Canis lupus familiaris: one gene and its partners. The protein of the gene in region 7 interacts with the protein of the main gene of each other region in a pairwise test. Links are inferred from orthologs where the notes say so. Each region holds a gene or a part of one and is shown on either strand. Other genes may lie near its edges.

What was found.
Region 1: the proteins of MIPOL1 (region 7) and TTC12 interact in binary tests that used the Homo sapiens proteins (3 or more experiments, as listed by UniProt). The two-hybrid records come from large-scale screens. The link is inferred for Canis lupus familiaris from reciprocal best matches to the Homo sapiens genes MIPOL1 and TTC12.
Region 2: the proteins of MIPOL1 (region 7) and CCT3 interact in binary tests that used the Homo sapiens proteins (3 or more experiments, as listed by UniProt). The two-hybrid records come from large-scale screens. The link is inferred for Canis lupus familiaris from reciprocal best matches to the Homo sapiens genes MIPOL1 and CCT3.
Region 3: the proteins of MIPOL1 (region 7) and BYSL interact in binary tests that used the Homo sapiens proteins (3 or more experiments, as listed by UniProt). The two-hybrid records come from large-scale screens. The link is inferred for Canis lupus familiaris from reciprocal best matches to the Homo sapiens genes MIPOL1 and BYSL.
Region 4: the proteins of MIPOL1 (region 7) and ZGPAT interact in binary tests that used the Homo sapiens proteins (3 or more experiments, as listed by UniProt). The two-hybrid records come from large-scale screens. The link is inferred for Canis lupus familiaris from reciprocal best matches to the Homo sapiens genes MIPOL1 and ZGPAT.
Region 5: the proteins of MIPOL1 (region 7) and digestive organ expansion factor homolog interact in binary tests that used the Homo sapiens proteins (3 or more experiments, as listed by UniProt). The link is inferred for Canis lupus familiaris from reciprocal best matches to the Homo sapiens genes MIPOL1 and UTP25.
Region 6: the proteins of MIPOL1 (region 7) and UBE2K interact in binary tests that used the Homo sapiens proteins (3 or more experiments, as listed by UniProt). The two-hybrid records come from large-scale screens. The link is inferred for Canis lupus familiaris from reciprocal best matches to the Homo sapiens genes MIPOL1 and UBE2K.

The regions. Positions count from the first base shown.
Region 1 is NC_049226.1:19,904,556-19,908,581, reverse strand, and holds the start of TTC12 (tetratricopeptide repeat protein 12), read left to right. Parts: upstream 1-1,226; 5' UTR 1,227-1,291; intron 1,292-1,568; exon of another isoform or gene 1,569-1,640; intron 1,641-1,721; exon of another isoform or gene 1,722-1,937; intron 1,938-3,015; 5' UTR 3,016-3,030; coding exon 3,031-3,082; intron 3,083-4,026. UniProt on the Homo sapiens protein: Cytoplasmic protein that plays a role in the proper assembly of dynein arm complexes in motile cilia in both respiratory cells and sperm flagella.
Region 2 is NC_049228.1:41,548,556-41,552,485, forward strand, and holds the start of CCT3 (T-complex protein 1 subunit gamma), read left to right. Parts: upstream 1-1,130; 5' UTR 1,131-1,261; coding exon 1,262-1,292; intron 1,293-1,340; exon of another isoform or gene 1,341-1,401; intron 1,402-3,134; coding exon 3,135-3,196; intron 3,197-3,930. Other genes in the region: TSACC (TSSK6-activating co-chaperone protein), read right to left, coding at 153-210, 879-1,016. UniProt on the Homo sapiens protein: Component of the chaperonin-containing T-complex (TRiC), a molecular chaperone complex that assists the folding of actin, tubulin and other proteins upon ATP hydrolysis.
Region 3 is NC_049233.1:10,768,253-10,772,308, forward strand, and holds the start of BYSL (bystin), read left to right. Parts: upstream 1-1,256; 5' UTR 1,257-1,413; exon of another isoform or gene 1,414-1,620; 5' UTR 1,621-1,634; coding exon 1,635-1,902; intron 1,903-4,056. Other genes in the region: MED20 (mediator of RNA polymerase II transcription subunit 20), read right to left, coding at 1,065-1,078. UniProt on the Homo sapiens protein: Required for processing of 20S pre-rRNA precursor and biogenesis of 40S ribosomal subunits. May be required for trophinin-dependent regulation of cell adhesion during implantation of human embryos.
Region 4 is NC_049245.1:48,113,882-48,117,007, reverse strand, and holds the end of ZGPAT (zinc finger CCCH-type with G patch domain-containing protein), read right to left. Parts: intron 3,055-3,126; coding exon 2,899-3,054; intron 1,762-2,898; coding exon 1,642-1,761; intron 1,554-1,641; coding exon 1,154-1,553; intron 902-1,153; coding exon 763-901; 3' UTR 501-762; downstream 1-500. Other genes in the region: LIME1 (lck-interacting transmembrane adapter 1), read right to left, coding at 150-321. UniProt on the Homo sapiens protein: Transcription repressor that specifically binds the 5'-GGAG[GA]A[GA]A-3' consensus sequence. Represses transcription by recruiting the chromatin multiprotein complex NuRD to target promoters.
Region 5 is NC_049228.1:8,363,641-8,367,140, forward strand, and holds part of digestive organ expansion factor homolog, read left to right. Parts: coding exon 1-117; intron 118-1,898; coding exon 1,899-2,118; intron 2,119-3,500. UniProt on the Homo sapiens protein: Component of the ribosomal small subunit processome for the biogenesis of ribosomes, functions in pre-ribosomal RNA (pre-rRNA) processing. Essential for embryonic development in part through the regulation of p53 pathway.
Region 6 is NC_049224.1:73,286,653-73,290,152, reverse strand, and holds part of UBE2K (ubiquitin-conjugating enzyme E2 K), read left to right. Parts: intron 1-519; coding exon 520-648; intron 649-939; coding exon 940-1,014; 3' UTR 1,015-3,500. UniProt on the Homo sapiens protein: Accepts ubiquitin from the E1 complex and catalyzes its covalent attachment to other proteins. In vitro, in the presence or in the absence of BRCA1-BARD1 E3 ubiquitin-protein ligase complex, catalyzes the synthesis of 'Lys-48'-linked polyubiquitin chains.
Region 7 is NC_049229.1:15,875,432-15,879,657, forward strand, and holds the start of MIPOL1 (mirror-image polydactyly gene 1 protein), read left to right. Parts: upstream 1-1,426; 5' UTR 1,427-1,782; intron 1,783-4,226. Other genes in the region: SLC25A21 (mitochondrial 2-oxodicarboxylate carrier), read right to left, coding at 664-733.

The DNA of each region.
Region 1 (4,026 bases), on a different chromosome or scaffold from region 7:
TGGGCAGACCCCTCTGGTGTCCAGGACAGGAGTTTGGTGAAGAGTAGTGGAACAGGAAGTAAGCGATTTGGAATGAAGCCTGTCACCCCCAACATGACAAAAGGAGCCTGAGGTTGGAGACTCTGCCTGTGAGTCCTCAAGAACTCCCAGCCTGAGGTGAAAAGAGGGTGATACTAACAGCAATAACCTGTCCCTGGTTTTTGTTTCCATCAGTGCCCACAGGCTCCATGGTCACTGGAAAGGAAGCTGTGTCTTTCTGAGAATGTCCGGGGTGTGGCTGGCACAAGCAACCCTGCACTGCCAGACACTTCCACTCTGCTTACTTCTCAGGGGGTATGTCAGTCCCTGAGAGCAGCTGCTGTGACTCTACTGCTGGGCCCCAGGCCCTACTGCCTCCTGCCGCTGCTGAGTATATAAGAAGGACTCCACTGAAGCTGCACCTGCTCTGCTGCCAAGTGAACTCCCTGGCCCCTGTGTACTCCACTCCACCGGGGGTGTTCCCAAGCAGTAGTGACACATACCAACGCCTTCTGGAGATTTCCATCAAGCAGCCCCCTGTTCTCCAGGAGGCTGAAATATGCATCCTGCCGTTTCTAGGCCACAGCACAGAGTCCACAGACTCTACTCAACCCATGTTGGATCCAGCTGGCCATGTCTGGAGCCCTCTGCCCTCCTGGTAAGTTTCAACCCCAGGGGCTCCTCATCCCCTACCCAACAGGTTTCTGAAACAGACCCACAAATTTGCCAAGAAGTCCCACGTGTTTCTGAACATTAGTTTAAGCTCAAGATGGAACCTTTCCCAAAATTTGCTTTCTTCCCCTTTTCAACCCAGCACACTAACACTGAACTTTTGTTTTAAAAAAACAGACTGGAATCTCTTTAAAACGGTGTATGCATTCGAAGATGCATGCTCACTGTAGGTCTCACGTTTACCAGTAAGCAAAACCGGATTCACAGCCAAGCCTGTCTCTCCCAAGCCCACCGCAGGTTGTCCCCCTCTTTGGGCCAGGGATAGTAAGCTGATGGGAGTGATACCCCGACCTTAGAGGAAAAAGAGGCGAAACCCTGGCGCAGGCTCAGGGACCTGCTTGTGCTTCCCGGGGAGGCCCGGCTACCAGCTCCGCGGACACCTAGCAGCGAGCTCGCTGCGGAACCCCAGCGCCGGCCACGCCCACTCCCGCGCTAGCCACGCCCACTCCCGCGCTAGCCACGCCCCCGCCCCTGGCCACGCCCCCGGCCCGTCCGCGCCCGCCCACTGCCGCCATTTCCTGTCCGGCCCGGGGCGTGTCAGGTCAGTGTGGCGGCGTGGCCCGGGGTCTGCCCTGCGATGTGGTGCGGATCTGGCCGTCAGCGCCGAGCAGAGGATGCTGTGTGGGACCCGGCGGCAGAAGGGCCCGTGTCGGCCGTGGCGGGGTCCTCCGCTTCCGGCATGGGGGCCGGTGGACGCTGCAGAGCGGTTGCCAGGCAACGGTGCCGTCGGCCCCGCCCCCTTGCGCGGGGCGGGGCGGGGCGGGGCGGCGAGCGGGCGGCCGGGTTCCCCGGGGCGCGTCTCCTGGGCGGCGGAGGGCTGGGCGCGGGCTGCGTGTTCTTACACCCGGGCAAGTGCTGCATCTTCCTTCTGCCCCGACCACCTGGGGCAGGTCAGCTCGCTTCACTAGGCCTCGGTGCTGTATGTTAGAGCCGGAAGGAGCCCTAGCTCGCTTAATGAAGCCACACGTCCCCACCCCCGTTTTGCAGATAAGGGCGCCTCGCCTTTACCGCTCGTTGCACGCCTGGTGCTTTCAGTTAACCCTCTCTCGGTTCCTATTACCGTTTCCATAGACTGAGTTAGGCTGAGAGAGGTTGGTGGCTTGAGCTGAGGTCACACAGCTTGCAACTGATGGAGTCTCCGGGTCGCATAACTCCCACCTTGCTCGCGGCAGAGTTCAGATTTCCAGGTAGCGGGGCCTACGCAACGGCACTACCACTAAACCTAGCCATAAATCCTAAACCTAGCCATAGATCAGAATCAGCCCAAGAGAGTTTAAAATTAGCCATACCTGGGTACCCTGGCAAGTTGACTGTGAAGCTTTGGTGCTAGGAGGAGTCTGTGTATTTAACAAGTTTTTGCCTGGTTTTTATGGTCTGTGGATGAACTTCGGGAACTACTGGGTATACCACGAAGCCTGTTTACTCACAAACCACAGAGAAGTAATACATCTAAAGTACCCAGAAGGAGAAGAGATGCTGGTGCACGGCGGCATCGAGTTCTGATCCCTTCGGCCCATTTTTAGCTTCTCTTCGCTCATCAGAAACAAGCCACAGGCTTATATTTTAAACTAAGTTTGGACAGTGAAATGCAAATACTCCAGTTCCTGATTACTAGTCGCACAGCCAGGTCCAGGCTTCGGGCTGGGTGGGCCTTTCATGACCAGAGTCAAGCGTTAGTGTCCTTCTCTATTCCTGCTAGCCTGTCAGCCTCTGGCCTCCTGCCCTCCTTTACACCAGGTCCCAGAATCACAGCAGTTGATGTTGGCTTTTTCTTTTCTTTTTTTTTTTTTTTAAGATTTTATTTATTTGTTTAAGAGAGAGAGAGAGACAGCGCCAGAGAGCACAAGCAGGGGGAACAGCAGAGGGAGGAGAAGCAGGCTCCTGGCAGAGCAGGGAGTCCGATGTGAGACTCGATGCCAGGACCCTGGGATCATGACCTGAGCCAAAGGCAGACGCTTCACCAACTGAGCCCCCCCAGCCCCCCCAGAATGTTGGCTTTGGAGAAACATTTCGCAGAGCAATTTTCCCACTGGAAGAGAGGGTTGACAGCTTTCCAGAAGCATCACCACAAATAATGAGTATCCCTTGGCCTTAATAGCAATCAGAGTGAAATAGATCACCCTGCTGTTATTCATGACATTTATGAACACAAATCCATCTTAAAAATAATCACTTGGCTCTTGGTTTTAGAAGCCTAATAAGCCTGATAAATTCTGTTTAGTGTTTTATTAGTATTAATTTCATCACTTATGCCGCCTCCCCCAGGTGTTCTGGTTCACAATGGCTGATGAGGAAGATTTGCAGAAATTTCTTAAAAATGTGGATGAAATCAGTAAGTACCAGTAAATCATAAACAAATTAAATTCTACATTGGCGAGGTGGAGTGACTGAAGAGAAATGATCACTCTGAGTTAGTTCCCAGGCTGCCTGATAGGTTTATGACTCTAAGGGAAAATGTAATTGAAATTAAACAGAAGGGGTATTGAGAAGCAAGTAATATTAGAGCCTGGGGTAGTATTTTGTGGCTGTTAATTGGTATTAGAGAAGCCATTAACATTCTGGTTGGAATTGAGACTGACAGCCCTCCTCCATATTTTGTCCCCTTCTGTGTGGAATCCACATCAAAGGAGCCTAGCTGTTCCCTCTGAGATCACTCAGGAACCTTGTAGATCATTCTGGAATCCCTCTTATTTTAGGGCAGAGCCATTTCTGATTTTGAGCTGCAGGGGCAAAATCAATTGGCTTTCCCTCAGAGTCCATCTCATTACATGGATGGCTCATGGCTGTCATACCCCAGTCTCTAGGGAAGAAGTCCTCTCCTTCCCCAGCTCAGACAGGTGGGATCTCAAAGGACCTTCTGTGATCCCACAAATCACATTCAAGAGATTCCCAAGCAACTGGTTTCTACTCAGACTTGAGGGAGCTCGTTTGATGATGGAAACAGGCAAACCAACAATCAAACAAACCTTACATATCCAATGGAAATATGTTGAAATTGCTCCTTCCGGCAGGCTGTTTGAACCCAGAGGACTAAAATGGTTTTAAAAATAGTTTGGGTAACTTGATAACAGACACATCCATAATGCATCCTTTATGATCATCCACAGGCTCTCCTCTGCCCCTCCCTAAATGTTGTTCTGCAGAGTTCTGGCCTTGGCCAGCTTGCTGCTCACATTTGTCTTCGGGTGCTCTAGTTCAGGGACATGGATTTTCCTGCAGCCTGTCTACTCACCACCCCCACATCTCTCTTGAGCCTCAGACTCTGCACCAGCTGTC
Region 2 (3,930 bases), on a different chromosome or scaffold from region 7:
CTCTTCCCCTCTCTGTGTGTGTCTCTCATGAATGAATAAATAAAATCTTTTAAAAAGGGGGTATATGCATAATTAGAATCACCTTCCCAAATTCTGAGCAATTAAGAAGGTCTGGCTTTCAAGGCAGGGGGCAAGGGGCCTCAGACACACACCTTTTTCGTTCGGGTGGCTAGCATGCTGCTCCATCTGGACACCAAGAAGGTGTGGTGCCTAGGGAAGAATCACAGCGTTACATGATCAACTCATGCTACCATTTTACCGCTGACAGTTTAACTTCTCCCCAGCACATCTGACGCTGCTCCAATTTAGGGAGGAAGATGTATGAAAGAAGGCACTGTTCTGCTTCATGGCCAAGTGCTCCCATGGTCCCTTCGCTGGTTTGGAAAACAGCGGTGTCCCTGACTGTTATATCCTCTCTTCTGGGCAAGTCGTCACTTAACTAAGCCCAAACCTTCAGAGTCTCCCAGTAACGGGGCTTCCCTCAATGTTTCCCTTCTGCAGCACCAGCCCTTCTCCTGTCCTCTGAGGTCACTGCAGCAGCCTGGCTCCCCATCACCTGTCATGGGCCGAGAGAAAGCGCAGGAGGGCGCGGGGTACCGGCGTGGAAAGACGGCCCGGCTGCGCGAGGAACCCCCGGGCTCGCCCCCAGCGTCTGCGGGAAGCACCTGCGAGAGGAGGGCGAGGGGCGCGCTGGGGCGCCCCGGGAAGGGCTCTGCCACTCAACCGCCCCGGGGACCAAGTTCCCGAAGTGGCCGCGCCGCGGTCCCTCCCGCAGCTAAGACTGGACAGAGACCATCGCCCCCAAAGGACCCGAGGCGCGGGCCAGCTCAGTAACTTCACCAGCGCTGTTACTCGAGAGCCTCCGATCCGGGTCCCACCCTTGTGGTTGATACACATGCGCGGTGGCGTCGCGGCCAACTGCCCCAGCCTCCGCGCTTGCGCCGACCTGCGCGCCGCACGCGGCCGGGAGCGGCCACCCTACTGCGCAAGCGCCCGGGCCCTCCCCTCGCCATCATCGTGCGCTCTCTATCTAGCTTGCTCTGCCGTTCTTGCGTAGAGGGCGGGACTAAGAAAGCCTATTGGCCGGTTTTCTTGCCGCTCAATGAGCTGGCTGCAGTGATTGGCAGCGACCCGGAGGGTAGCGGGTTTAGGTGTAAGCCCTGAGGAGGCAGCGTTTTCTGGGCTTCTCGCTGGTTCTCTCTCTCCAGAAGGTTCTGCCGGTTGCCCCAGCTCTGGGTACCCGGTTCTGCATCGCGCCGCCATGATGGGCCATCGTCCGGTGCTCGTGCTCAGTGAGTTGGGGGAAGGCGGGGCAGGAGGGGCCTCTTTTCGCCCTTTACCTCCGCGCTTTGGCGTGTTGCCCCAGCCCGGTCCCGCCCTGGTCCTGCCGCGCAGCCTTCCCGTCGTCGTTGGTTTCGGAATCCCCTTTCCTTCTCCTCTTTCTGCCCCGAGCCGGTTCCCTTAGGGCCTGGGCCGGGCCGGGCCGCTGGTCTGCGGGCACCCGGGCTCCCTCCGCCGCCACTGCACCCCTGCTCGCGTGGTTCTCGGTGCGGGCGCGGAGAACGGGATGTGGTCAGGCCTGGCCTCCCAGCTCCGGCCCTTGACCCCGCCACATCGCCTGGCTCGAGCGTTCCGTTTTTATCGGGGGTCTCGACAGTATTTTCTTGTCGGATCGGGGGCTTAAGTGACTGAAGTAGGGACGCTGCCGACGAGGGCGGGGGGGGGGGGGGGCGTCCGCGCACAGCGAGCGATGCCCTGGTAATTTCTCAGTAACGCCCTCCCGGGGTCTCCTTTCGCGGGGTCCGGCTTCGATGTAATTGGCCCCGCGGTGTCCTCCGCGCTGTGATCCTACCTACTGAGTTTTCCTGAATTTCTCTCTAAGGAGGATTCGCTCCATTGTCTTCTCCTGGGATATTCCCGTTCCTCGTGTAACTTCTGTACCTCGTCTGCAAACTCTTGTTCCTCCCTTACCGTTTTATGTATACAAAATGCAATAAAGCGGTTTTATGCCTTTTCCCTGTACCTGGGAATCACTGTTTTCACGGGAAAAAAACTTTTTTTTTTTTTTTTTTTTTTACTGAACCGGGAAAAAGCCCGTTTTTTGTTTTTGTTTTTGTTTTTGTCTTTTGTTTTTTCTGAGGAGCCCATCAGAATAGTCTGTGCAGGATTTTAGTTACTGCTACTCGAAACATGAATCTAAATTCTGAGGGTTGTGAGCGTGTAGATTTGATGGGACTGGTTGAAAATTTTACTGATTTAAATTGTAGGGAATGTGTAATTTGGAAGGAGGGAAATCGGCGGTTTGGTTGTAGCCACTGGCTTGTCTCCATTGGGAGGGCCCCAGGGGTGAGTGGTGGTTGTGTGTGAAGCCTTTTTTGGGTCTTCATTATTTTCTGGCACTAGTGACTATGACTGAGTAGGCTCCCTGTTAAAATCTGATGGTAGAGCGGTTACTGAGGCATCCTTACTTATATCCTAGCATGCAGTGATTATCTTGCAAACTGAGCCACTCTGAGAGGACAGTCTAATTCCACAGCACACTGTGGGGGCGCTATCAGTAATTGTGCTGGGATGGTTAGTATAATTCCTCCTGCCCAAATAGGAAAATAAGAACCCCCAAACTCCTTCCTTTTTTTACAGAAAGCAATGACTGATGCTTTTTTTTAGGTTACCAGCTCTTTGAGAATAGGATATAGATCCTCTTCCCAGTCAAGAATGCAGTACCTTCCCATTTTCTCATATAATCTCTAGGAGTTTACCATTCCACTAGCCCATTTATGGACCTCAGTATGAATCTTTGCTGTTAATTCGTGAATATTTGGTTAGTGGGAAAGAGATGACCAGGGTTTCATAGTTGAAGCGTTAGGGATTGTTTGTATGCCAGGGGTTGACATAAAAATGTAGCCATAAATACATGTTTTAGTGTTGTTGTTGTTTTTAAGTTTTCAAAGGTATTTTGATATGTAATAACCTACATGTATCTAGAGCATAGGATTCATTGAGGTTTGTTCTTTGTATATCTGTAAAACCTGTGTGTGCATGTGTGCGTGTGTTATTTCCAAAGGTCAGGGAGTAAATAGTTGCTACACAGTGGGTGAATCCTGGTCTATCACATTTTACTTTATCTGTTTTAGGCCAGAACACAAAGCGTGAATCTGGAAGAAAGGTTCAATCTGGAAACATCAATGCCGCCAAGGTAGCATATCATTCATTCATTTAAAGATTAGATTTAGGGCAGCCCTGGTGGCTCAGCGGATTTAGTGCCACCTCCAGCCTGGGGCGTGATCCCGGAGACCCGGGATCGAGTTCCACGTCGGGCTCCCTGCATGGAGCCTGCTTCTCCCTCTGCCTGTATCTCTGTCTCTGTGTGTGTGTGTGTGTGTGTGTGTGTCTCTATGAATGAATAAATAAAATGGTTTTTTTTTTTAAATAAAGATTAGATTTATTTATTTGAGAGAGAGAGAGCAGGAGCGGGAGAGAGGAGCACAGGGAGAGGGAGAAGCAGACTCCCTGCTAAACAGGGAACCCGATGTGAGGTTTGATCCCAGCACCCTGGGAGCTGAAAGCAGACACTTAACCAACTGAGCCACCCAGGTGCCCCAGTAGCATATCTTTTAAATAGTTTAACGTTGATGAGTTTGCTTTCAGCTGCCTTCCCTAGTATTTCTGTATTCATTTGCAATTAGGCAGAAGAAAAGTTTGACTTGCCTTTTTTGAGGGCATTTCTCTGATGGTGGTAGGATGCCCTCCCGCAATGAGTTAGGCTTAATAGTCTTTTCATATTGTGCATAATTCTATTAGCGTATATTTTATAACCTGTTCGTGTTTGTCTCACACCATGTGTGGAGTTACTTTAGGGGAAGGATTGTATTCCCTTTTATATCCCTAGCATCCATTGTAGATCCTGCCTCGGTATTCAGTTAATGTAGT
Region 3 (4,056 bases), on a different chromosome or scaffold from region 7:
GGCTTAAAATATCCATTGCAGAAAACACAGGTGCAGTAACCGACAAGCCTACAAGAACCTGAGCTATCAGAAAGACTAGCTCCAGGGATCCCTGGGTGGTGCAGCAGTTTAGCGCCTGCCTTTGGCCCAGGGTGCAATCCTGGAGACCCAGGATCGAATCCCACGTCGGGCTCCCCGCATGGAGCCTGCTTCTCCCTCTGCCTATGTCTCTCTGCCTCTCTCTGCCTCTCTCTCTCTCTCTCTCTCTGTGTGTGTGTGTGACTATCATAAATAAATTAAAATTTTTTTTTAAAAAAAGAGTGGTTCCCACAGGCTCCAGCCCTAACTAGAAACGTGCTAATACTTACCGGTACTCAAAACAAAACAATCCCTAAAATCTAGCATTTTCTCCAAGAGCATTAGGCCCATACCTTTCTCTGCCACCCCACTTATATCATGTTGAGAGATTAAAAGTCCATAGTAATTAGTTACACCAACCATACAATTAAACATAGTAGGAAACGAATTCTGAAGAGGTGACGTGCCTAAACCCCAATCTACCTCCCAACAGCTGCTGCTGCTTATTTTTTTTTTTTTTTTCCCTCTAGACCGAAAATCTTAAGACGGCCGCACCAGAACCAGACACGGGCCGGTCTAACTGCATTAAGTGGCTGTAGGGAGGGGCAGGAGAAAATCTTTAAAAAAAGACGGTTTCCTCGTTGCCTATCCTTTACCTCCTCTAGCTACGCCTGTAGATTGGGTCCTAGTTCGGGCATCCTTAATTTCCACCTCGGGCAGCCCTATGGCCTCCTGGGAAGGAGGAACACAACCACTGATGGGCTCCTGGGACAAAACCTTTCACCTGCCGCCTTTCAGGACGAAGGGAAGTGTCTCCGAGCAAACAAGCGCGGAGAATCTGCAGCCCTCGCAGCGTCTCCATCACCCACACGTTCCGAAGATATCTTATCTTCATCAGCTCATGGGGGACCGCGGTCCCTGGTCCCGGCCCTCCTCCCGGTACACTCCGGGCTCCGGGGCCCTTCCCGACCCCGAGCGCCGCCCAAAAAAGTCCCCTGCGGGCCTACCAAGTCACTCCCATGGTATCGGGCCAGGAGGATGGCAGGAACAAACAATCGGATCACAGTAGTCTCTGGCCGCCCACACTAAGTGAAGACCCCTAACGAAAGCTTCGGCCGAGGGAGGTGCTCCGGAAATGACGCAAAAGGAGAGCGTCCAGTCGACGCGCCCACGAGGAACAGGGGCAGGTCTAGGCATCTCCTCGGTGACGCCTCCAGTGACGTCACTACCCAACTCTGGCCCCGGCTTTGCAGCTAGGCAAGTCCACGTTTGGCTGGGAACAGAGGTCCTCGATCTATGAAAGTAGAAAACCACCGCTCGGACTGCCACCACTTGCAGAAGCCAGCGTTAGAAGCAGTGAGTTCATTCGGGGACCGGCTGGCTCCAGGCCCCGCTCTTACGGGGTGTGGCGGCGCTGATGGCCTTCCCGGCCTCCGGACGCCGGGAGGCGCTGTGAGCTCCGCGGGGGCCTCTTGGGAGCTGGGACTTCACGGCGCAAGTGCGCTCAAGGCTTTTTTTTTTTTTTTTCCTCGTCTGTACCCCACGTGTAAACCTTTCTGGCAGAGTTCTGGAAAAAAATGCCCAAATTCAAGCCGGCTCGCGGAGCTGCAGGCCAGGAAAAACATGCGCCGCTGGCTGAGCAAATCCTGGCTGGGGACGCGGCGCGGGCAGGGCCCCGGGAGAAGCGGCGGGGTCGTGGGACCAGAGAGGAGGACGAAGAGTATGTGGGGCCCCGGCTGACCCGACGGATTTTGCAGCAAGCGCGGCAGCAACAGGAGGAACTCGAGACCGAGCATGGGACTGGGAACAAGGCCGCAGCCCCGCGCGAGCGCACCACGCGTCTGGGTAAGTGGGGGAGGGGGGTGCCAGGAAGAGGGTGGTTAGTTTTGGAGGGAGGGGGAAGTAGATAGACGGCCAAAAGGTTCTGCCAGGGGAATCCTTTGGAATAAAAAAAGTGAAATTGAATAAGGAGTCCGCATCACACCCTTGCAAAGGTGATGAAATGGGAGACCCAGCCCTGGAATAGATTCAGGGTGGTCAGAGCTCTCTATGCCCACTTGTTGCTTTAGATGCTTGCGTCTAGGCAGTCTCTAAGTTAGACCAACAAGAAGTTAATTGGTCACACTATTGAGCACTCCTAACGTTTATCCATCTGTTCTGTACATTCTTGTAGGTTGTCTAGTCCGTACTTTGCACTGTGCTAGGTAGGAGTTTAGATGGTTTTGAGTAAAAAAGGAAGCAAGATAGCCATGACCCTGACTTCAAGATCTTACAGTCTAACCTGAGAGACAATTAAATTGACGATTCGAATAATACATTTCATGATGAAAGTATAGTTTTGGGACACCTGGGTGTCTCAGTGGTTGAGCATCTGCCTTGGGCTCTGGGCAGGATCGCGGGGTCCTGGGATGGAGTCCCGCGTCGGGATCCCAGCGGGGAGCCTGCTTCTCCCTCTGCCTATGCCTCTGCCTCTCTCTGTGTGTTTCTTGTAAATAAATAAATGAAAATCTTTTTTTTTTTTTTTAAGTATAGTTTCATCTTAAAACAAGAGCATTAGTTTTGGGGGTCAGGGTTCCTAGGTTACATGACTTTGGTGCTGAAAACTAGTGGAGAGAGAGCTCTAAGCAGAATGAACGATATTGTTTAGGTGCTATAAAGAGGGAGAGAGACTAATAAAAAGATGGTCTTTTTTTTTTTTAATTTTTTAGGGTGTAAGTGTTGACCTCCGGGTCACTTAATACATTTCTCAGGTCACATCTTTCATTTGTCCTGAGAGCAGTGTTTGACACAATTAAACACTGGCCTCCTGGGTTCGGTATCTTTACTTGGCTTCTGAGCCATCCCATTCCTGTTTTAGTACTTCTTCACCTCTCAGCATCTTTTGCTGGCTCTTTTGTCCCCAGCCTTTTATCATTGATATGCCACAAGTTTGGTTCTTGGACCTCTTCTTTTCATATCTCTTCTCTGGTGCTGTCATCCATTTCACGGTTTAAGTACCATCTATTTGGTAACTGTTCCCACCCTTGTATTCTTGCCCTGATCTCTTCCATGAAAATCAGATTCTTCTATTTTAGCTGCCTTTTTGACATCCCCAATTTGAAATCTAATAGACGTCTTAAATTTATTTTTTTTAAGATTTTATTTATTTTTTCATAAAAGACACAGAGAGAAGGCAGAGACATAGGCAGAGGGAGAAGCCGGCTCCTCACAGGGAGCCCGATGCCGGACTTGATCCCAGAACTCTGGGATCCCTCCCTGAGCTGAAGGCAAACGCTCAACCGCTGAGCCACCCAGGCGTCCCAAGAGATCTCAAATTTAATGTGTCCAAAACAGAAATCCTGATCTTCTCGCCAAACCTGCTCCTCCCACTATCAGCTCAGTTAATAGGATGCTATCCTTCCATTTGATCAAGGCAAGCCTTGGATTTCTTTCTTATTCCACATTTGATATGTTAGGAAATCTTGTTGACTCGTATCTTCAAAATAGATCAGAGTCGGGCAGCCCGGGTGGCTCAGTGATTTAGCACCGCTTTCAGCCCAGGGCCTGATCCTGGAGACCCGGGATCGAGTCCCACGTCAGGCTCCCTGCATGGAGCCTGCTTCTCTCTCTGCCTGTGTCTCTCTCTCTCTCTCTCTCTCTCTCTCTCTCTCTCATGAATGAATGAATGAATGAATGAATGAATAAATAAATAAATAAATAAATAAATAAATAAATAAATAAATAAATAAATCAGAGTCAGACCACATCTCATCACCTTGGAACACAGTCCTATTTGAACCACCATAATCTCTCACCTGGATTATTTTTAGTAGCTTCCTAATTAGCATACAGTCACCCTTACAGTCCACTCACAATAATTGGATGACTTAAAAGACCTCCATGATCTGCCCCTGTTGCCAATCTGACCTCCTCTACTACTTTCCCCTTACTCTCTTCATCCATACAGGCTTTATTTTTCCTTAAACATACTAACTTAGGGCTTTTGTCCTGGTTATTCCT
Region 4 (3,126 bases), on a different chromosome or scaffold from region 7:
CCTCACTTCCTGCTGTGCATCTATCTCCTGCATCTCCCTCAGCCACTCAGCCGTCGCCATCACAGCCTCACCCACTGGCTGCAGCCCGCGCGGGGTGCAGACGCTGCCTGGTTGGGGTGTGCGGCGGGCCAGCGCTGCTCCGAGCCTACCTCCGGGCGTCTCCACCCACCATGAGCTGGGCCGGCGTGGGTCACGGGCCGGGGCAGCCTCGAGGCCTCCAGAACCTGGGGCTTCCTCCGGCCTCAGCAGCAGGGCTTCCCAAGGGCTCTTCACCGACCACGACCCCTTCAGTCCCACACATTTGCGGGTGCTGGGCAACATGGGCGGCCCCCAAGCTGCGACCCAGCTCGGAGCTGCTGGCGGAGCCCCATCAAGACAGCAGAGGACGCCTGCCTCCGGACAGGGGCCAGCGGGCTCTCGCAGGGCCCTCCCGCCGGCGCCCACGGGCCTGCGCAGGGACCCCTCTCCCCCGAGGTCCCACAAGCCAGCCGAGCCTCCAATGAAAGACACCACAACACAATCACTTTAATGTCCTCGCTGAGGAGACCCCCCGAAACACTGGCGGGTGGGCTCAGTGGCAAGGAAGTGTCCAGAAGGGAGCCCTGCAGCCCCATGTCCTCTCAGCAGTGTCCGCTGGCCGTGGGGTGTAGCCTGGGAGCAGGCCAGCCCCTCTTCCAGGAGCATCTAGTCGGGTGACAGCTGGTCTCCCCGAGGGCACCCGGGAGCTGGGGTCCCTGAGCCCCGTCCACGGCACACAGGGCTCTAGAACTCGGTCATCTTCTTGTGGGTGTCTGCTTTCCTCTGTTCCCGCTGCAGACCCGCCTCCTGGGCCTGGAGCTGCCCCAGCTCCCGCTGGGCTCCCGCCAGCCTCTCCTGCAGCTGGGCCGCCGTCACACTGTGCCTGAGGAGGAGCCTGCCGTTCAGCACGAGCTGCTGGGCCACTGGCACGAGGCCCCCACACCCGTGGCCACGGCCCTCCTCCTCCAAGCACCAGACCCTCCTCGGACAGCCACCACCCTGGGGTCAGCGCGCGCTCCAGCTCACGTGCAGGCGAGAAGGCACAGCATGGAAAGTGGGCAGGAGGCCCACGGCAGGGCTGAGGCATCGACACCCAGGGGGCCGCCCCCTGCCCCAAGTCTCGCCCCACACGTACCGGCCGGTGTTTCGGGCGAGAGCCTTCTGGATGCCCCGGATGTCCCGCTGGGTCTGCTCGATCTTCTTCTCCGTCTGGAAGAGTCGCAGGCCCAGGGCCCGCTTGGCACTCCTGCTGGCATGGTACATCTCCTTCCCGCTCCTCCTCCCTGCGGGGGCCGCCGCAGCCTCCAGCGCCGCCGGGGTCCGGCACTGCAGCTTTTCGTTCAGAAAGTCAAACACGCTACGAGGGGGAGGGCGTCCACCCCCACTGCCCTGGCCTTTCGGGGGCCTCCGGGCGCCAGCCTTGCCGCCCTTGGTCCTCTTCTGCAAGATCTCTGCGCACTGGTCCAGCGACTTCCCTCGAGGCAGCACCACAGCGTGGATGGGCTCCACCCGGCCCTCGGCATGCCGGCCCAGACCTGGGGGCACACGGGGCTGGCGCTACCGCTGCTGGACCCGAGCCCCGCTGTGCGGCCCCCTCCCCTCCCCAGGGCGGCACACACTCACCCTTGCCAAACTCGTAGCCCATCTTGGCAAGGAGTCTGGAGCCGATGCCCCGTGTGTGCACCTCCCAGCCAGCGAAAGCGGAGCTGCAGGTCCCGGGCTCGGCAGCACTGGGTTCCACCACTGTAGGAAACAGGGCAGTGGCTCGGCCCCGCTGGACGGGGAGCACCCTGGGCTCCAGCCAGTGTCAGCCCGAGAGCTCAGCTCCGGGCCAGGGTCGTGGTGCCCTGAGCCTCAGGCTCTCCGGTGATTGCCCAGACCTGTCACCGGCACGTGACTAAGGCAGGACTCACGGCAGAGTCTGGCGCAGTCTGCTCCAGCCCCCCCACCGCAGGGCCAACCTCCCCACCCGAGCCCTCCCCTGACCCACCTTCTCAGGCGGTGAGCTCCCCTCTTCCCCCCGTAGAAAGTCCACGACTTCGCGGCTCAGTCCTCCCCTCCACCACCGTGGACATGGGGGTTCAGGAACTACCACCTCACCGGACAGATTCCACAGGAACGCCTCCCCTCTCCATCCTACCTGACCCCTTGGGAGGGCTGGACGCCCTCAGCCAGTTACCCTTCTTTTTTTTTTTTTTTTTTTTAATTTTTATTTATTTATGATAGTCACAGAGAGAGAGAGACAGAGAGAGGCAGAGACACAGGCAGAGGGAGAAGCAGGCTCCATGCACCGGGAGCCCGACGTGGGACTCGATCCCGGGTCTCCAGGATCGCGCCCTGGGCCAAAGGCAGGTGCCAAACCACTGGGCCACCCAGGGATCCCCCCCAGTTACCCTTCCTGAACAGCTCCTGCCCCGGCTCTCTCGACACAGCCTCCCCTCTAGCTACTAGGTGTCCCCACGTGGAGACCACTGGAAGGAGCCGCTCCTTCCTGCCCCCATGCCCCGCCGGTCCCTCGCACGCCGACCGGCCAGCCCTGCTTCAGTGGACACGGCTTCGGCCTGCGGGGTGTGGAGCTGCGATCATCCCGTGTGCTCCCTGAAGACTAGGGCCGGGTCATTCCATCTGCAGGCCTCAGGGCCCGCCCCAGACTCCACACGCTCGCTCTCATTTGCCCCCAATGCCTGTGGCGGGCTTCCACGTGTCCTCAGTCACACGTGCCCCTTCTGAACACAGTCTGCCTCACTGCCCCCATACTCTCCAAGGATGTGGTGAGAGGGTCACAGGCCCTGCCAGCCGGAAGCCTCTCGGGGTGACTGCTACCGACACTTCCCCTTGCCCCACTTTCCTGGCTTCTGGGATCCTGAACTGCCGCCATACCTCTGGCATAGCTGGGGTCATCTGGGTCGCCACTGTCTGAGTCTGAGGATCCCGTGGGGTCTGTGCGCAGCGGGGGCAGGATGCTGTCCCCCTCTACCACGGCCTCCTTCAGCAGCAGTGAGTCAAACTTGACGGTGTAGTAGCCATTATCTACATCTAGAGGCAGGGAACAAAAGACAGGCCAGCTCAGTGGCCTCAACAGGTGGTAGGAACCACATTGGGAGTTAG
Region 5 (3,500 bases), on a different chromosome or scaffold from region 7:
AATCATGTCCTCAAAGCCAATGCCCAGGTGCTTAGTAACAATAGCAGACGTCGCAGTCAGAAGCTTGGGGTGGGTGACGATGATGACTTCAGAGACCAAGGGCTAACAAGGCCCAAGGTGAGTGGCAGCAGGAGAGCTTCATCCAGGAGAGCTTTGTCCTCCAGAAGGAGGCTTCTGGCTGTGCCGTATAGGTGTCTGGCACTTGGCAGATAGTCAGGTATTTTAATGGTAACGAATACTGGAATAATGAATGAGTCCAAGAGTGAACACCTTAGATGGGCCAGGTGGTGCCAGAGCAGTGCAGTAGACAGCTCAGTGGACTGTTTCTAACTGGATTTAACTGGAAACTTGTGAGTCAGAGGTTCCTCTGATAATTCTTGAGATAATCCTGAGCATACATAAATGACACTCCATTGTAAATCTCTTTGTGATTGTCAGAAATGGTTGGAACCTTAGCCAGCCTTTTATCCAATCTCTAAATACTGCAGCTATGGATAGAGACCCAGATTCATAGAGGACCTTGCTGAAGAGAACCGGGAAATGAGTAGCAGAGATGGGATTAGAACCAAGAATTTTCATTACTGAGCCACACACATAAGTAAATCTTGGGAAACAGAAATTCCGGTTTTTCCATTGTATACTTACCGCTGCTTAAAGTGATGATTACCTTTATTTGGGCTCATAAGCCTAAGTTCCAGTGGATGTGGGGCTTTGGTAGGAAATGTCTTTTAATTGTGCCCACATTACTCATGTTGTGTGGCTACATCATGTGTCTTCCATTCCCCATACCTCCTTAACCTGTATCCCTCCATATGGAGGAAGTCTCATCTTTTTAGATGTTTCACTGAGTCTAATAGGATTCTAGGGCTTAGTACTGATGTGGCTCTTAGACATTTTTTAGTCTGGCCCCCTATATGATAACTGGGGAAGCTGAAGCCTGGATACTTAGTGTCACAGCTGGGACAGCAGTAACTTGGCCCTCTTCAATCTAGGGCCCTTGGTGCTGCACTCACTATGCCCCTGTGGCTGTGCTTGCTCCCTTTCTGGGAAACTATCTCAGAGTCTTAAAAATAAGGATTATAAGTTTATCTGTTTCCATTTAGAGTTGTAGAAAACAATGAGTCAGATTACCCATGAAGCACATTTAGAATTTGATGAGTTGTGGGCTCTGACGGGTTGTTTACATTGTTGATATTTACAGAAGGGTAATGAGAAACTTATTGTTTGTTAAGCATATTCTATTTTTATTCTCTCCAGTTGTAACTGTAAGCATTTTTGGAAATGTTTGGAAAACTGAGTCCTACGTTTCCCATTGAGATATGATCTCATTTCAGAAATGCTTTATCATCATTTCTGAAAAACATGCTAGGAAATATATTAGATGCGTTAATCCTTTTCCTTACCAGCTTTATTTGTTCTCTACTTATCATACCTAGTTCATTTATTTTATTTTTTGTTTTTTTAAATTTTTTTTCCTAATGCATTCATTTATTTAGCATTTATCCCTTGCAGCTTATGCATAAAAATACTGTAGTAAGGTCTGTGCGAGACAGAAATGAGTAACATTCCTTGACACTTGTATGTTTATATTGGATTTTTGCTAGTGGACTCCTGTTAAAGGCATTGACTTAATCCTGAAAGATACTTCCACATTCTGGTTGGGAATTGCTTCTCATGGGGCTATTAGATTAAAGTCCATAGGACAGTGCTGTGGATATGAGAGGTGCTTAGTTTGTAGTCCTGAACCTGGTTCTGTGCAAAGGAGGTGGCTGAGATGTGAGCCCTTGCAGGGCCTGCTGCTTTATGGAGGGTTCTTTAGCACCATGTCTTCAGCAGGCTGACCGCAGCTGCGGACCCTTCCCCTGGTCCCACCGAGGCTGTTGTGGCTTTCTCCATAGGTGCTGATAGTTGTGCCCTTCCGAGAAGCTGCTCTGCGGGTGGTGCAGCTCTTCATCAGCCTCCTCGAGGGTGACAGCAAGAAGAAAATAATTGTGAGCAACAAAAAGAGGTTTAAGGGAGAGTATGGCTCAGATCCTGAGGAGAGACCACCCAACCTGAAGAGGCCTGAGGATTATGAAGCTGTGTTTGTCGGCAACATCGATGACCACTTTCGGATTGGTAATTCCTTCTTGTTTTAATTCAAACCCTGAAGACCTGTGGTATGTGGTTCACATGACTAGAGGCTAGAAGCTGGGAATTGGGCATTCTCTCAGTGGGGTGAGATGTCCTCCTAACAGGACCCGGGTGCATTTGGGACATCTTGTCTGCCAGGGAAGAGAGTCTTGCCTGGCTAATAGGGTGGACACTTGGCTCAGGATGGAGCATCTCTGAGGCTGTATGTAAAAAAAAACATGCACATTTAAAGCAGAAATGTCTCAGCACATCCAGAATTAGTAGTTGATGCTACAGGGGGAGTTGGAAGTGATAGGGCCTTAGAGGGTCCCTCCGGGGAGGCTGAATAAACTGGGTGTCCATGTACAGTGGTGGACTTCCCTTCTTCCAGCCATGGAGAGTGCCTACCCTGAATTGTCTCCACTCAGGACTTACCGACTGCTACCCAACTTGTCACATCTTTGCTTGTCTCAACCAACTCCCATATACTTGGTTGGTTGTATATTGATAGAGTAAATTCTTAGGAAAATGTTTTTTCGCCACGTAAGTTCATTCAAAAAAACATGCATTAAGCGTCTACTTTGTACCAAGTACTGCTAAGAAGCTGAGGATATAGAAATAAAAGTTGTGGTTCTTGCTGTTAAGGAAATCCAGCCTATTGGGCAAACAGTACAGATTGATAAGTGCTGATCAGAGGATGCAGTGGATGATCTGGGGGTGTTTAAAGTGATTTTTGTACTAAAATTTTTGTTGTAAGGAGGGGTGGTCAGAATGCAGGAAAAGGTTTTAGAGAGGAAACTGCACTTGCAGAGGCATCAGGGTGAATAAGCCGGGTATGACCAAAGATCTACAAAGGCTTCAGCATGGCTGGAGTGTCAGGTGCACCAAAGTAGGGGGGCGGGCACGAGAGTAGATGGTTTTTTTTTTGTTTGTTTGTTTGTTATTTATTCATTTATTTTTTGCGAGAGTAGATGTTTAGTTTTAAACATGTGCAGGAGTCCTGCCAGTTACTGATATGTCAGTTTTGAGCTCAAGAAAGAAAAGTTGGGCTGGAAATACAGATCTTTGTGAAGATGGCGTTATAGCTATGGTTAGTGAATAAATTTACCCATTTATTGCCCATAAACTTATGTAAGGTGTGATTGGAATTTAGAGCCAACTCACAGACTTGTGGAAGAGCTGTTTGGATCTGAAAAGATAGATATGAGCCAGGTCAGGGCTAGAAGAGGAAGTGAGTATTAAAGAAATGGAAAGTACCAGAAGGAAAAGAACATTTTGAGGAGGATGTGTTCCATATGCTGCTTCATGCATTTGTAACAAACATTGAAGTATCTTTGATTTGGTGACCTTGGCAAGAGTCCTTTCAGTGGAGTCCTGAGAATCAGGCC
Region 6 (3,500 bases), on a different chromosome or scaffold from region 7:
GTGTTTAGAAAAATATGTGTACATCACTTCACTGGTATTAGTTTTCTGTTACTTACATCTATTGAAATTGGAGATTAAAACTGGTAAGTATAATTGCTCTTTTTCTTTTCTTTTTTGGTCAACATTTGTGAATCAGAGCTTCAGGTCAGACTTTTTTTCTTGAGTGACCTTGTTTGCAACAGAAAGTTGAATCAATCACATTTTATTTATTTATTTGTTTATTATTTTATTATTTTATTTATTTATTCATGAGAGACAGAAAGAGAGAGAGAGAAAGAGAGGCAGAGACGCAGGCAGAGGAGAAGCAGGCTCCATGCAGGAAGCCCAATGTGGGACTCTATCCCAGATCACGCCCTGGGCTGAAGGCGATGCTAAACCCCTGAGCCACCAGGGCTACCTAGAATCAATCACATTTTAAATGTAAATTATTTTTACTTAGAAAAAGCCAGTTCTTAGGTTATTAAGTATTGAATATTGTGACTGCATTGTCATATTGTTCAATTTTTTTCTTCATTATAGTACAAACAAAATCCCGAAATGTTCAAACAGACAGCTCGACTTTGGGCACATGTGTATGCTGGTGCACCAGTTTCTAGTCCAGAATACACCAAAAAAATAGAAAACCTATGTGCTATGGGCTTTGATAGGGTAAGTACCAAAAAGCTTGCTTTTCTGATGTAGTTATTGATTTAAAATTATTGCTGCAAATCCTTGGCTGACAAAAGTCGTTCAGAGATGCTATAAATCAGGTTTTATAAACTTCTGTTATTATAATCAGTGATTTTTTTCCCCTTTGGCTAATTCCAGTCATTGGTTTAGAAGCTTGTTACGCACTACAGATACAAGGTGTGATTTTTCAATATGAAGACAGTGCATGATTCAGTATTTTAAAAATATGTTTTGAGATTTGATTTTTTTTGTCCCCTTTCTTCCCTACAGAATGCGGTAATAGTGGCCTTGTCTTCAAAATCATGGGATGTAGAGACTGCAACAGAATTGCTTCTGAGTAACTGAGGCATAGAGAAAGAGCTGCTGATATAGTCAAGCTTGCCCCTTCTTGAGGAGCATCAACATCTGTTATTTTTAGGATTCTGCATAGATTTCTTTTAAACTGGCATTCTTGCCTAATGATGTTATCTAGGCACCATTGGAGACTGAAAAAAAAAAAATCCCTGCTCTGTAAATAAAGCTAATTAAACGTCTGTGTAAATTTAAAAAGGGGAAATACTTTAATTTTTTTTTTCTTAATAGTGTAAAAATTCTTTGAGCTAAGCTAAAACCATGGAAAAAACATGCTACTTTAGTGTTTAGCAGTGTACCAAGACTAGCAAGAGTTTGCTTCAGGATTTCGTTGAATAATTAAGATAATATTTTGAGTGTGTCAGGGCCATTCAAATTGTTGGTGTTGCATCACAGCTACCTTAACTGTTTTTAACATGGATCCTCTGTGCCTGTGAATTTACTTGCATGCTTGTACTTGACTTCTTAGGATGGGTAGCTGAAAAGACCACCATTTTAAGCATTTGAGAATTCTTAAATATGAGATTTATCCAGAATTGAAGATGGTGACCTATTCAGAGCCTTTTTGTCCTTGTCAACAGACTAGGACACCATATCTATTTTTCCCCTTCTTACCACACACAGCTAATATTCTAATAGTAAATTTCTCTATATTTGGTGGGGAAATATGCCGAGGGACAGTATCCCTTGCTCCATTTTTAGGTCATCCATTTGGAATGTTTTGTTATAGCTCTTCACTCTTAAAACTTTCCAATGTGAGTAATAATGTAAAAATGGAGCTGCCAATTTTGTTCCTCTTGCAAAAATAGTAAATACTTGTTGCAATATTCCCAAGATTTAATGAAAGAACCTAACTTAGTTTTTCAGTGAATTTGACATCTTTCTATTTTTAAACTGATGAAATTTTCTTTGAGAACTTGAAATGATGCAATCAACTATTGGCAGTTTTTTAGCCTAATTTTGACTTTACAGAGATTACTTTATCAGGTACTTTAAAAGTCACTCTTGATTGCATTTGCCCCTATTGACACATGAAAGCTGTGTGGTGTTCTACTGTACATACTTCAGATACACATAGGAATAGAAGTGTGTTATAAATCTAGCTTTCTTTATGATGTTTCTGATAATATGAGAATTGAAAACTTTACCTTTTCTTGTACATAGTCAGACTTTCTATTCGTATTAAAGTTACATTTCATTCTAAGTTCAAAAGTTTGAAAATTATTAGTTTTGCAAGCTCAAACACTAATGTGACCATTTTATGAAGACTGAAATGGATTTATGCAGGCAGTTCTATACATAGAAACAGTTCTTATTAAATTTTCAGGACCAATGCAGAATAACAAAAATGTAATGGAATGAGAATGAATTAAAGTAAGGCTGTATATTGAAAGTCATATTTATAAAAGGTTTGCTTTCTTCAAGTGTTATTTATCCTAAATTATAATCATTAAGTGTTTGGAAAATAGTTTTGAACCATAAATTCAGCATAATTTCATTTGACTTCTCCATAATCTTAGAAGCAATAAAAGAACCATTATTAAATATATTGTAATATTAAAGATGTGAAGGTTCTTCCAAAAACTTGTAAGGCTTTCCTAATTAATAGTAAACTCTTGTAGTTGATATTATTGCATACTAAACACAAGTTGCTATGTTTTTTTCCCCTATATATTTGCTTAAGCATAAATTTCTTTATACAATCACCTCCTTTAATTGTTATAGTTTAGTTACTTTCTAAAGATGCCAAAGGAAACAAGATTTTTCTTTATTTATTTTAAATAGCTAAAACCTTGTACTTTTCTTTATATTTTGAAGTAAGGTTGGGATTGTGTGAAAATGTGGGCAGCTTTGTTCCACTATTGGTTAGTTTGTTTTGTTTTGTTTTGTTTTAGTGGAGGGTTGGTTTGGTAATATTTGGATTATTTTAAATATCAAACACATCTACCCAGTTAACTATTTGCCTATATTATCAGGGTATATTTAATTGTCCTGTGGTTAGACAAAAGAGAATGAACTCAGAGGTTACTAAGGTCAAGCATTACATACTTAGCTCTTGGAGGCAGCTATACCTTTATACCTTGCCTTTGATTTTTATGCACATTAGCCCATAGGTAATCTCATCCAACTATACTTCAACATCCTCAGTGCCCAGGAAATTGAAAAGAATAATATTTGGTATGAGAGGTTCTCCATGATGCATTTTCATTTCAAAAATTTACTTACCTCCTTTACATTAAATGTGATAATCCCTCTCTCTTTTCTGGTGCATTTCTCACCGTCTTTCAGTTTCTTGTTTTTCACTCTTCTACAGATAAATGTATTTCCCCAAACATAAAAATTAAGGCAATTTTTCCCCCTCTGGTCTTAACGTGTTTGGGAAAAGGACACTAAAAGTGCAGGTCTAGAGAAAAGATACCCTGGTGGAAATTATTTTTTATATTTCTGACTTTTTTGTGATTCATCAGTTGTAAAGGCCT
Region 7 (4,226 bases):
CACGTATGCCTTTAATTTTTTTTTTTTTTTTTTTTTTTTTTTTATTTGTGATAGTCACAGAGAGAGAGAGAGAGGCAGAGACACAGGCAGAGGGAGAAGCAGGCTCCATGCACCGGGAGCCCGACGTGGGATTCGATCCCGCGTCTCCAGGATCGCGCCCTGGGCCAAAGGCAGGCGCCAAACCGCTGCGCCACCCAGGGACCCCAGCCTTTAATTTTAATATGCCTATTGGAGACACGAAGGGCCCGAAGCAAGCACAGTCTGCAAGGGGAAGACCCGCGGCGTCCCGAGGTCTGCACTTTGAGGAGGGAGGCAGGAGGTACGGAACAAGTACCCAGAAGAAAAAGGCCACGACTGAGAGCAAAGCGAAGTCTGACGGACGCGGGCGCGTTCCTAGTGCGGTAGCCAGCGACGCACCCAGGCCTCCTCCCGGGGGCAGGCCTTGGGGCAGCCTCGCTCGCGCTCCAGGCTCGAGGCCCGGGGGGCGGGGCACCGGCGGGCGCGGGGGCGGGGGCGACCCGACCCCGGCCCCCGGCGCCCGCCCGCCCGCCCGCTCCCGGCCTCCCGCTCCGCGTACGACCGCAGCGTGCAGTTCCGCGGAGAAACTGCAGTGGGGAGGCCCCTCTGAGGAAAGTTCCGGGACCCGCGGCGGGGCGGCCTTACCAGCGGAACCACCGGCCAGGATCTGGCGAGAAGCCTCTCTCGCGAAGCCAGCATTGGGCTGGGCGGACATCTTCGAAAGCCCGGGGCGGCGGAGCGGAGCGGGCGAGCTCGCCGGCCTGCAAGAGCTGCTGCTGGTCCTGGCGCCGGCGGCTCCTGGGGAGGCGGCAGCCCGGCGGCCGCCCGGAGGTGGCGGCTCAGGGCGCAGGCTCACAGTGCGTGATCTCCGGCGGGTGCGAACCTGCCCGCGGCTCCCCTTCAGGGCTTTCTGTCGCCGCCGCTAGGCCCCCTGGGCGCCAAGAAGGGCCTCGGCGGAGAAAGGCCTCGCGGACGGGGTCGGTCTGGCCGCCCGCGGTGGTAGGGTTTGGTCTCCCAGCTTGGCGCCCAAGCGCTTCCCTATCGGGAGCCTCCTGCAGTTCGTCAGGCCCACGCGCCGCCGCTGATAACGCTCTGAAGAGGCGCCCCTGGCCTCGCGGCGGCGCCGGGGCGACCCTTGCCCTCCTTGGCAGGCCAGCGCTCCGGGAGGCCCTAAAGAACGGACAGGTGGATCCTGAAATTGTGGGTTCTAGAAGCCAGGCCAAGTTACAATTATCTTTCAATTAAGTTAATGTAGTACTTTGCGAAGAAATGGTTTGGGCCTGAGAGAATGTATCATACCTCATCGACTTGAGTTTTATTTACTGAGAAAAACGAAAGAAGAGGCCTTGTTACAAAAAAGTCTCTTCAGTACCCGAGGTCAGTAGTGCTTCTCCACGTATGATCTTAAGATCCAGCAACGTCAACGTAATGTGAGAGTTCCTAAGAAGGCAGATTCGTGGCCCCACGCCTATCCACTGAATCAGAATCTCTGGATACAGGGCTCAGAAACCTGCATTTTAGTAAGGTCTCCAGTGATTGTTAAGAGCGTTAAAGTTTGTGAACCACAGACCTAAGTAATCAAGCAATATAGGGAACTATCAGTATATTTTTTCTATGAAACATTTAATTATTCATACTAGCCCTTTCGGATATTTGGAACAACATAAATATTTATACTATTTTTAAACCATAAGTTACAAATGCTACGTAGAAGAGACACAATATTATGAAATTTTAGAAGAATACCTGCCACACCCCTAACAGGTAGGAGACGATACCAGTAAAAGGTAGAATGAGAGGATTTGGAACCGCTATTGTCATACTATTTCTTAAACATTGTATTTAATACTAAATCTATTCAGTTTGAACCATAGAGAATTGCCAATTTTGAAAGCCAGAAACAGTTGAATATCAGGAATGTAATATGGTTAAGACTTTATGTGCTTTCCAATTGAATGTGCAAAATACCGTAATTTCATATTTTGTTTTTATTTCTGAGGCTGAGCTGGGAAAACCTGGTAATAATGATATCTGACTGGTAAAATTGTCGAAAGTAAGGAATTAGATACACTTGGTGCTTATGGATCAGATATGCAAGATAAATTTTCTCTCATATTTGATTAAATATTTGATTAAAATGACTAAGCTTAAAATGTTTACCAAGGAACAGTTTTCAGAAATTTTTGCTGGTTAGCTAAAGTAAAAGCTTTTGAGGAATGTTTCAGTCTACTAATTAAATATGAAGTCTTGAGTGCAACATAGAATCACATATTCAACAAATATTGAGAACCTATTCTATACCAAGCACTAAAATCACAATTGCAGAGCTCATAGAAAACCTTTCCCTCATTTTCCGATGAGGAAACTGAGTTTCCCAGGATCACACCATGAGCTAATAATATTGCTGGGATTTGATTCCAGGATTCTCTCTTCTAAATGCATTGGGATTGTAGATTTAAATACTAGCCACAGGCCAAACTACATTCTCTCACAGCAAAACCTAAAATAATTAAATAATTAAATAGCCTCCAAATTAATTTCACTTATTCATATATATAAATGGAGAATTTTTTAAAGTTAAAAATAAAAAGTTGCAACTTTTAAACCCGAAGGCACGCACTGAACCAAATTCTGCATTCATTCATTGAAAGTTGACTAAGCATCAGCACTTTCCTATGTGCTGGCAATGTAACACTTAAAATCCCTGATGGAGCATATAAGCTCATGGAGGAAATCCCACCATATTGCAATTTGTGTTAATTTAGTATTAAGTAAAATTTTGTCTTCCCTAGATTATTTCAGGAAATACAATAACACTTTTAGGTCAAGATTTAAAGATAGCCTTCCTCCCTCTCCCATTGGATCAGTATAAAGATACTTTTAATCAATTCCACAAGTACCTTAATCTCTGAATATCTTATCCCAAGGAGGTGGGTGCAGGTTTGTGGTCTCACAAAGACCTCAGTCTCTCAGCACCTAGGTAGATTCAGTGAGAAGACCCTTCCAGACAGAGTTCCAAATACCCTGTTAGAAAATTGCTACCTATTTTTAATCTTTTTAGGCTAGAACTGATGTTATTGAGTAAGAAAAAAAAACAAAAACAAGGCCTGTTACCACATGTAATCTAGTCCTACACCTGTAGAATAGTTGAAGAGATAGGGTCTAGATATAACTATATTCTAGAGCTTGGGAGTCTGCTAATGTCCATCCATGGTCAACAAATACCCACTGCTGAGAGCTCTGATTATTAGCTATATCTCTTAATCTGCAGCCGAATTTGCCTGTGGCCAGTATTGGAATGCTGGGAGGTTTAGCACTGAGAAAAAAAAGAAGGTAAAATTTATTTGGCCTACTATTTCAGATACCCTAGATTTAATCTATCACATTCTCTTTCTATTATTATTTTATATGATGCTGTAATGTCCTGATGCTAGAGCAAAACTGCTACAGTATCAAGCTTATATTTTGATTTTATTTTTTAAAGATAGATAGATAGATTGATTGATTTATGAAAAAGAGAGCCCATAGATGGGGGGCAGCGAGGAGGGTGGTGAGGGTGGAGAGGGAGAAGGAGTCTTAAGCAGACTCCTCTCTGAGCACACAGACTGATGCAGGGCTGGATCTCATGAGCCTCAGATGATGACCTGAGCTGAAACCAAAGTCGGATGTTTAACCAACTGTACCACCCAGGCACCCCATGCTTATATTTTTAAGTTATAGATTATTTAGCCGATCTTGGTTGGGAATTACATAATTAAAGTATTGACTCATCTATCAGTTTGCAGAATGGCTAGAAACTAAACTGCCTGGAGCCTTAAAATCCTCACTGGACTTAAATATCTGAAAATTTGTTCAGTGTCTTTTTGAAATAAAGCTTTTGTATTGGGCCATTGGATAAGCTAATGTTCAAGACTACAATAATAGTGGCTTGAACAAGATAAAATTTATTTTCCCTCTTATATGAGCTCAGTTTATTTTAAAATGACAATATTTACTCATTTTGAAAAAAAATTCTCAAATTTAAAATATACTTCATTAGCGTCTAACTAGAAGTTGCAGAGTAACTCTGTGGCACACATACTATGACTGCACCCACATTTTAAAATACCGTTCGCTGAAAAATACATAGCCACTCTAGGCCCATAGACTTCTATTTCAGGGTCAAAACACAGACACACAAATGCAGAACTTGGTATACATGGAATCTT